Neurospora crassa OR74A: one gene and its partner. The protein of the gene in region 2 purifies or fractionates together with the protein of the main gene of each other region. This does not show direct contact. Links are inferred from orthologs where the notes say so. Each region holds a gene or a part of one and is shown on either strand. Other genes may lie near its edges.

The links. The genes of interacting proteins can lie anywhere in the genome.
Region 1: the proteins of NCU01741 (region 2) and NCU11181 purify together in Saccharomyces cerevisiae (affinity purification with western blotting; 3 studies listed by BioGRID). This does not show direct contact. The link is inferred for Neurospora crassa OR74A from reciprocal best matches to the Saccharomyces cerevisiae genes BET1 and SAR1.

Annotation. Positions count from the first base shown.
Region 1 is NC_026503.1:3,651,016-3,655,243, reverse strand, and holds NCU11181 (Ras superfamily GTPase), read left to right. Parts: upstream 1-1,247; 5' UTR 1,248-1,714; coding exon 1,715-1,733; intron 1,734-1,949; coding exon 1,950-2,093; intron 2,094-2,304; coding exon 2,305-2,370; intron 2,371-2,476; coding exon 2,477-2,817; 3' UTR 2,818-3,237; downstream 3,238-4,228. Other genes in the region: NCU00382 (hypothetical protein), read left to right, coding at 1-212; NCU11180 (patatin-like phospholipase domain-containing protein), read left to right, coding at 3,999-4,228. UniProt on the Saccharomyces cerevisiae protein: Small GTPase component of the coat protein complex II (COPII) which promotes the formation of transport vesicles from the endoplasmic reticulum (ER).
Region 2 is NC_026502.1:2,582,066-2,586,919, reverse strand, and holds NCU01741 (SNARE complex subunit), read left to right. Parts: upstream 1-1,849; 5' UTR 1,850-2,064; coding exon 2,065-2,078; intron 2,079-2,686; coding exon 2,687-3,011; intron 3,012-3,109; coding exon 3,110-3,316; 3' UTR 3,317-3,814; downstream 3,815-4,854. Other genes in the region: NCU01740 (histone H2A.Z-specific chaperone chz-1), read left to right, coding at 32-196, 279-291, 391-557; NCU01742 (hypothetical protein), read right to left, coding at 4,158-4,854. UniProt on the Saccharomyces cerevisiae protein: SNARE required for targeting and fusion of ER-derived transport vesicles with the Golgi complex.

The sequences.
Region 1 (4,228 bases), on a different chromosome or scaffold from region 2:
ACGTTCGGGGTGCCATTGACATTGTCAAGGGTTTGGAGGAGAAGCGCCAGAGGCGCAAAGAAAAGTATTATCAAAAGTATTGCACCCGGGCCCGCAAGGAGAAGGCTCAGCCCAAGAGACCTCCTCCAGGACAAGGTGCCGAGCGCATGCGCGAAGTTGGTCTAATAATGGCTGGCAAGATCGGCCAGGGCAACTATGTTCTTTCTTATTAAACTCACGGCGAGGGCCGTTTATCAGCATTCACATGGCGAATTATACCCTGGGTTACAACGGCAACTGGAGAGGCATTTTTTTGATGTTTACCACGTTTGGCGGCAGCGGCTTTCTCTCGTCCGGCATTCGGTATTTACATTTTCATCCCCCGGCTCATTGATTACACCTTTTGTACCACCCGTTTCATTATAATTGCATACTCGAAGTTGCAAGCAAGCATCGGGTCGGCTTCCTTTGGGCTGTGCCTGGGCGGACATGTTCTGTATGTTCTTGTTCTTTTCTTGTTAACGTTTTTGTACATATTCTTTTTTTTTCTGCCTGCGCTTGCTCTACTTTTTCCACTTTCTACGTGGCACGCTGCTTTTTACAGAGCGCTCGTGTACACAATCGGACTCTCTGTAGAGGCGGAGATACGGATTTGATGGCCGGGGGTAGATATACCCTGCAGAACCTGTCTTGGAGTTTGAGACCTCTGGAGACGACGGGAGGATGGGAAGGGGACGAGACGGATGGCAACGGATTGGCAATAATCCGTATCAGCGATTGTGAGCTGACATCTTGGTTTGGACATACACAACCAAGTGCTGGGGTTGGGAAGGAAACTCGTCTATACATAACTATAGATCCTCCTCCTACATACCTCAAACAAAGAAGTAAAATTTTCAAAACAAGCCAATGTGTTCCTTTGCTTCATTCAGTGAACCTATTTCTTCGATGAACGTCTGGGATTACAGGCGAGAGCAGTGACGGCGTCTTGACGGGAGATTTGTCGGACTGAGCGGGTGGCATCTGGAACCCTCCTTCTCCTGAATCTTGCATCAATGCCACCTGCATGGCTTCTTGATGCGGTTGCTACGGTCGCTTTGGCAGCTGCAGGCGGGCGTGCATGTGTGGTAGTTTACAGGTACTTATTTCCCGCTGTTTTCTTTTATTTTCTTCCTTTCTTTTGGGCGGTGACGGGCCTTTTGGGCGGTTGTGCCGGGGATTTTGCCCCTGAACGGGCCGTCTTGCTTCCCCCCCCCCCCCCCCCCCGACTGCCCCACGGGCATGCTCGCTCACTGCACCAAGCAAAAAAGGGGAGGAAAAAAGACAGGTCACGTGTGAATGCCTGAAATACCAGGCCAACAGTCACAAGACTATTGCAGGGGCCAGTCCAGCGCTGTCCTCGCCTGCCGTATCGTTCATGCCAGCAGTGCACTTCTGGGCTCGCGTGGGTCATTGAACCTTCTATGGACATCTTTCCTTGTAGCGTGTGCCCGACCGCCTTCGATCCGCCGCCGCCCCGTACACTTTTGTCATAGCTTCCAGCTGCTTTCGCATCGCAACATCCACGACGCCAGCAACGAAGCCTCATCAACACCCTCGCTACGATTTCGCCGGTCCCTCTTTGTGTGCCTAACACTTTACCGGCGCTTTGCACGACTACCTGTTCTTCTAGAACTCCTCGACTTTCCCGTATCATCGACAAAAGAGGTGTTTTCTAGATAATCATTTCGTCACCATGTGGTTGTGGTCTTGGTGTATGTTGTCGCATCCCTATCCCATCCGTCGCCCACGTTACCTACCCAAACTTCCCGTCATCCCTTCGTTCATCACTGTCGTGCACCATGGATATGGAAATGCATAGCATGAACATGCGGACTGCTGGGGATTTGGGAAGGGGTTGTTCATGATGATATTGGACGAACACGTCTGGAAACTCGCAAAGCTGACATGATGGCGCCACCAACAAACAGTCTACGATATCCTTTCCAACCTCGGCCTGCTCAACAAGCATGGCAAGCTGCTCTTCCTGGGTCTCGACAATGCCGGAAAGACCACTCTTCTACACATGTTGAAGAATGATCGCGTTGCCATTCTCCAACCTACTCTTCATCCGAGTCAGTTCAACCACCTGCAGCTGCCACCTGCCACTGTTTCTCCGTCAACGCCGGGACCTTGATACCCGAGCACCTTCCGCCTTCTCCCCCTTCGCCTCGACTCTTCCCGTCCCTACTCCCGTTCCTGGCTCCATACACCGAATCAGATATGCGCGCACATGTGAGGGCGAGATGTTTAGAGAATAATTATGGCTGACATGATTCGTTGTAGCTTCGGAGGAGCTTTCTGTCGGCAACGTCAAGTTCACCACTTTCGATCTTGGCGGTCATCAGCAGGGTGAGTGGATAATCATCTCCTATTTAGGGCTTATGTCAAATCCTCTCGGGACATTGACAAGCCGCTCTACTGCTGCGGTCTCGACTAACAAATGACGTATCTACAGCCCGTCGTCTTTGGAAGGATTACTTCCCCGAAGTAAACGGTATCGTTTTCCTCGTGGACGCCAAGGACCACGAGCGTCTCCCCGAGGCCAAGGCCGAGATCGACGCGCTCCTCTCGATGGAGGAGTTGGCCAAGGTTCCCTTCGTTGTGCTCGGCAACAAGATTGACCATCCCGAAGCCGTCTCTGAGGACGAGCTCAGGCAGAGACTCGGGCTCTGGCAAACGACCGGCAAGGGCAGGGTTCCTCTCGAGGGCATCCGCCCCATCGAGGTGTTTATGTGCTCTGTGGTTATGAGACAGGGATACGGAGAGGCTATCAGGTGGTTGTCCCAGTACGTTTAAGGGGTCTGATGAAATGCGGAGCAGCACAGGATGGTTGTCAGGTAATAACATTTTGTAATATGATACGATGATGACAATGAAGGAACTGGAGGGTCTCGCGATATCAAAAATTGACGGGCGTATTTTCACAATGAACAGATACGCACGAGGCTTATCAGACACAAATGGGACGTTGGAGGGACTAGTGTACGTTTGACCACTGCCGTTATCTGGCTCTAACGGTATAGGTTATCTTTTGCTCTCCGTCAGATTCCGGTACCTATAGCTTGTTCTATTCCCTTAGTAACACGGTGTCTACCTAGCCCGGCCCGAGTTTGAGCGGTCATTCTAGCAATCTGTAGAATCATTGTATGTACGGATGAACGTGAACATCTCCAACAAAGCCTAGTCTAGTTCTCGAATGACAAGGATTCGTTCCGGAGTGATTCCCCAGTAAGAACACGTGTATGCCATCATTTGTTGGGCTGGAACGCATGTGCAGAAGAGACACTACTAGTACGTAGCCCGGCAAGAGCCCCGTCCTCGGCTTCGCCCGCCCACTAAACATGTACACAGTACACTATTCCGGGCGAGGGTCGACCGACGTCATCCAACAATCTGCCACCCGACCCGCGCAACTCCAACGCTTCCGGCACCAGGACTGACATCAAGAACGATCAAGCACCGACCATTGCGCCAGCAACCAGCGTTGTATCCCGATCACCTTGAACAATTCTTTCCTTTGTAACCCCCTTATCGTCAAATCCCTCTTTCAGTCCGTGTCACCTTTCTGTCCAGCCATTCCCTGTGGCTTGTTTCAGGGTGGATCAGTCAGAAGATCAAAAAGCCAGAAGGCTTCGATCATCATCAGCTACATATACAGGACCAAGACGCCGAAGATTCCACTTCGCATGCTTCCCTGGCCATTAGCCGATATCATTTAGTGACGACGTCGACGATCCTTGAAGCATCTGCCAAGCGTTTACTGTGCTTGGATTCCTGTCCCTTTTTCCCTACAGTTCGCAATCTCGTTTGCGACTTGCTGTTTTTTGATTACGCGACAACTCGAACAGAACGAAAAGCCTCCTGTCTTGATATCGCAACTGTCTGGGCTTGTCCGAGCTACCTACATCTATCTGTTTCAGCTACTTGAGCCATTATACCTGATATATCGCGGACAGAAAAGCATCACCTTCCGTGTCATGGCCGACGACACAGACAACCCACCAAACATCCAAATACCAGCAAAGTCGTATGGTTTCCCGCCAGAAGCCTTTGACCCCAGACGGCTTCCCGACTATGATACCAATTTTCTACCCGCTCACGACCTCGAAGCTTTTATCCAAGCCCTCGCGGCGCCCGACTTCGTCCAATCACCAGACGATGCATCATCTATGCGTCTCAACAGCCCAGGTCTCCATAGCCCCAGCAG
Region 2 (4,854 bases):
CACCATTTTTGCTACTTAATCCATCTCGAAAATGTCCACCGAGAACGGTACCACTGACACCACCCTCGCGGGCACCGCCGAGGCCAACACCCCCTTTGAAAGCAAGGGCAAGGGCAAGGCCGCCGCTGAGTCCGAGGACCACCCCATGGGTGAGGCAGAGGACGACGAGGATGATGAAGATGAGGATGAGACTGAGGTGAGCTAAATCCTGAAGGCATCAAACTTGCTTCTCAAAACACTCTTCTTCGCATTGTCCGTGCTAACCCTTCCGTTTGCAGGAGCCCGAAGCTGGTACGTTAATTGCCTTTAAATCCATCAGCCAACGCCCAATCACGGGTGACGATCGCGCAGCAACAGCTTACGTACAGGAACTAACATGAACAAAAACAGAGGAAGACAACCTCGAGGAGATCGACCCCAGCAATGTGATCAGTGGTCCCCGCACTCGCCAGAAGGAGATCGACTATGCCAAGGCCGCTCAGGACTTGCCTGCCGAGGAGGACGATGAGGAGGACGACGAGGAGTTTGTGCCCGAGGATGAGGAAATGGAGGAGTAGTCCGAGGCTATCTTCTGATTTCCTTTGATGGTTCACAACAACAACAACAACAACAACAATGACAACAGATTCTTGTTTTCTTTCTTCCTGGGTTTCCCCGTTGGCTCTGCGCTTTGCTCGCTGCCAGTGGTTGAGTTTTATGATGATCACGAGCTTGGAGATGTAAGCCGTCTTTTGGCTGATTGCTAAGCCTGATTGGCTGGACCTATTTATGTACGTGAATGTCAGCTATAAGGCCTGGGGTTGTTTGGTTCAATGCGTTGGGAGTTCCCACAATCAGAATTTGGCAATACATGATAAGGGTGTAAGTGATCATTCGTTTATCAGTTCAGGTAGACCGATCTCTTCTGTCAGCCAATTTCAAAGTATCAACATACTACGTACGTTGGTGTATCAGAATACGCTTGATCGCTTGTCTTCACTAACCTAACCCCCATAAGTGGAGACATTGGATGATTCCCCTGTCAGCTCAAGGGCAGTTGGCCTGTTGAGATGGGGTGCCACTAAACTAACCGCGAGGCAGCCTGAAGGGGGTGATATGTCTACGGCTGACCTATGAAAAGGTAATATTCCGGCGAATTCTAGAGTTGCTATGACCATCGAGATTTGATATCGGTCCTGTTCCTGGAGTACACAGCAGACGTCAGGAACCGGAGCATCGCACCAGCCACCAACAAGGTTCGCGATCTTGGCCTGATCCACCGGGTATTCTACGCAGTACCATACACCAGCTTCTTTGACGCCAACATCTGTGAGAATGCATGCCTTCGACTTGGAAAGCTTCAACGATTCTGAAAGTCTCGGATTTGGGCTTAGATTCGCTTCAATAAGTCCATACTTGAGTCTATGCGCCTTGCGCAATCTAACGTGGATCAACTTATTGCTGACGCGACAAGCTGAGAGAGAAAAAAAAAAAAAAAAAAAAAAAAAAAAAGGTAGAGGAAGAATGGAGACGCTGAACGCCCAATTAGCCAATATCAGTGGAAGCAACACGGGCACCTCTCGGAGGGACTTTGAACAACGCCGAACATGAACCCTCCGACATAAAGAAAAATTGAATGATTAAAACCAGATACATTGGGGAAAATAGTGTCAAGTTCTCTCGGAGAGGAAGACGTGACACCAACCCAGATGTTCAATCAACGTGTCCTTGTCAGCATCATGCGGCACGAACAACATTGTACCTTTTAGCCATTACATATGTATCACCCAGACACGGACTGACGTTGTAGTTTATGTACATGGACGGCGCACCAAGGTAACATCTGGCCAGAACAGGCCTAACAACCACCCAAACTAAAAAGGGGGATCTGCCGGCGCTGGCGGCCAAGGGTCCACGGGCATTCAACTTTATTTTCTTTCTTCACCACCCGCACACCCCCCGCCCGACGCTACCTCTATGGAACCTGCCAATTCATCATCTCTAATACCTACCCACACTCTTACAAGTTAGCTAGCATTTACCTGTCAGGATTCTCGAAGACGGATCGACCTAAATTTGCTCTCCATGATGGCTTCCAGGTGAGTGCGATTCTCTTGTACGTTCGTCTTAGCATTGCACCACACCACACGCAAATGCCACCTTTCACATTTCGAAATGCGACTTGGCCTGTCAACTCGACCAAACCCACGACCGACACGCGATGAAGCGAGCGGCCGACCGAGCTGCCCGGCTCCGGTGAACGGGTGTACGATATTGCCACCGGAAGATATCTGCGGACCAAAGGCAGCAGCTATCGATGTTATGGTGGTTGGTTTGACAAGTCACGATTTCTCGACCTGCCCCCCCTGGTCATGGCGCGACGGCCTCAACTACGTCATCGCTCTGGTTTCAGAGTCTCGCCAACACGCCTCCAACCATGCCATGGTAGGATACGATACGAGTTCACTACCGTGATGTGATGCAGTCGCAACAGCGGCGCAACCACAGCAGCACTGGCGACGAGAGCGAGAATGACAGCGAAACCGAAAGCGTCAACTCGATCCATCCACCATGCCCCCGGGTCGTCCTCGATTCGACTTTGACCACCCACCACAACCCCCATCCCACCAACCCCTTAATCCTTCGAACAAGACAAGACAACACCCTTCTAACAATTAGTCCGCTTTTCTTTTTCTCCGGAGTACAGATTTGCACATTCCTCTCTACACCAGCGCGACCCGCGCAGCGACCTTTTCAAGGGCTACTCTGGCTCCAGCGCAGCCGAGCGCCGCTCGGCCAACGCCAGCCCAGCAAGGTATGGCGGTGGCGGCGGATACGGGTACGGGGGCGGCTATGGTGGCGGTGGGAGTTATAACGGCAGCTCGTCAACACTGGGGATGGAACGGGGCGGGTTTAGGCCTGCTACTCCAAATTCAAGGGGCCAGTACAGCGACGCAGTCCTCAACGAACTCGAGAGCCAGAATGATGAGCAGGTGGAAGGGATAATGGGTAAAGTCAAGATTTTGAAGGATGTATGTTTTTGTTCTCTCTTTCTGCTCTCCTCCCTCTCTCCCACTTCCTTCTCTCGCAAGCCACCCATCAACTAACCCCATCCCTCCCCCACAAACAGATGACTATAGCCATCGGCGATGAAATTCGAGACTCCTCCGCCCTCGCCGAGAAGATGAACGAATCCTTCGACCAAACCCGCCTCCGACTCCGTGGTACCATGAACCGAATGCTCATCATGGCACAGAAGACCAATGTCGGGTGGAGGGTGTGGCTTGCCTTTTTCGCTGCCGTGGTGTTCCTCTTTTTTTACGTGAGGTATCTCTAGTATCCTTCCAAGGTCAAGGTTTTTCTGAACTTGGAAGAGAGAAAAAGAAAGAAAAGAAAAAGACAAAGATGGAGGGATATGTTGGTCGGCGGAGTGGTCCTCCTGCTGCTGCTGCTGCTGCTGCTGCTGCTGCGCGGGGCAAAGCGATATGTTCAAGAATGATGGAAACGAGAAAAGAGACCATATATATGCAAAGGAAAGATGGGATAGTATATATATGGCTTTAACGATGGGTAATACCAATGGATGATGAGGAAAACGGAAGGTTCTAGGTCAAAGTGGCTGACTACCTTGTGGGATAGAAAAGGCATGGATATGGGTTGCCCTTGGTAGATTGCGGGCGGACTTGGTTTTTGCATGCTGGCGCCGGGGAGTTCGCGTTTGTTAAGTCGTTCGGGTAGTATCAGAAGTCGGTTTTTTTTGGTTTTTTTGTGGTACCTAATTATTTTAATCATTCTTAATCCGTTCTCCAACCAATGAGGTTCAATTATCTGGTTTAATCCACTGATCAATCATGAAGCTATATATGGGCTCCCACAAACGTGAAGTGGATAATCATTGAGCGTATAACAGACAGTTAATCAGAACTGCGTGTAGACTACCACTGCATAGACCAGACCATTGCTGTAACGAAGATCAAAGTTGTCTTTTGACGGACATTATCTATTCAATCCTGCTTCCCAAGCCACCAAGTAGCTACCCATACTGCCATGATCCCAAGACTCCATGCGCCAGACTCAAACGACCTGTTATTGAATGATGCTTGCTGACCGTTCCTACCACAACTCCTCAGTTTTAATCCTCCCTTGTTTCTCTTTCCGAACCACCGCGGACCTTCATTCTAGTGCAACCTCCTCACCCTTGGACTGCTTCTCATCATGGGACTACTCTCATCAACAGACAACAGCCCACTGATATCCAGACTGCTCCTTGGCGCTCCAATTGTGCTCCGCCTGGCATTTCCCGCAAGACTAGTCCTCAACAGCCGCTGCTGCTGCTGCTGCTGCTGTCTTGGCAGTGATACGCGGCGATGCTGGCCCTGCGCTGATCCCGCTGCCGAACCAGGTCCGTAGCTAACCCGGTGAGCGCGTCTGTGACTGCCGCTCATATTACCACCGCTACCACTGCTGCTTATGCCGATGCCTGCACCTGTACCGACTTGCTCTTGTCCTCCCTCGTTATCACTGCTGTCAAGAAGCTCCGCCTCGGAATCGGTATGCTCATAGAAACCGCTTTGCGCACGCTCCTCGTCCGCCTCTGGAATGTCGTCATCTAGGTTGGCGTTCATGCCTAGACTGTCGTCCGTCATGCCTCTGTCTTCGTCCGCATATTCTCCGCTGTTGTGAGAGCCGATGATGTCGTCCTCCTCTAGCATGTGAGCTTGGTCTTCCTCGTCAACGTCGTCGTCTTCGTCTGCGGCGCCATCGGTTAGATTGACGTGCGTGGGCCGGAGACCACCGCGGGCCATCATCTCGCGCATGCGTTCTTCGTTGGCACGCACGTTGGCTAGCTCGCGCTGTTGCTGTTGCTGCTGGTGA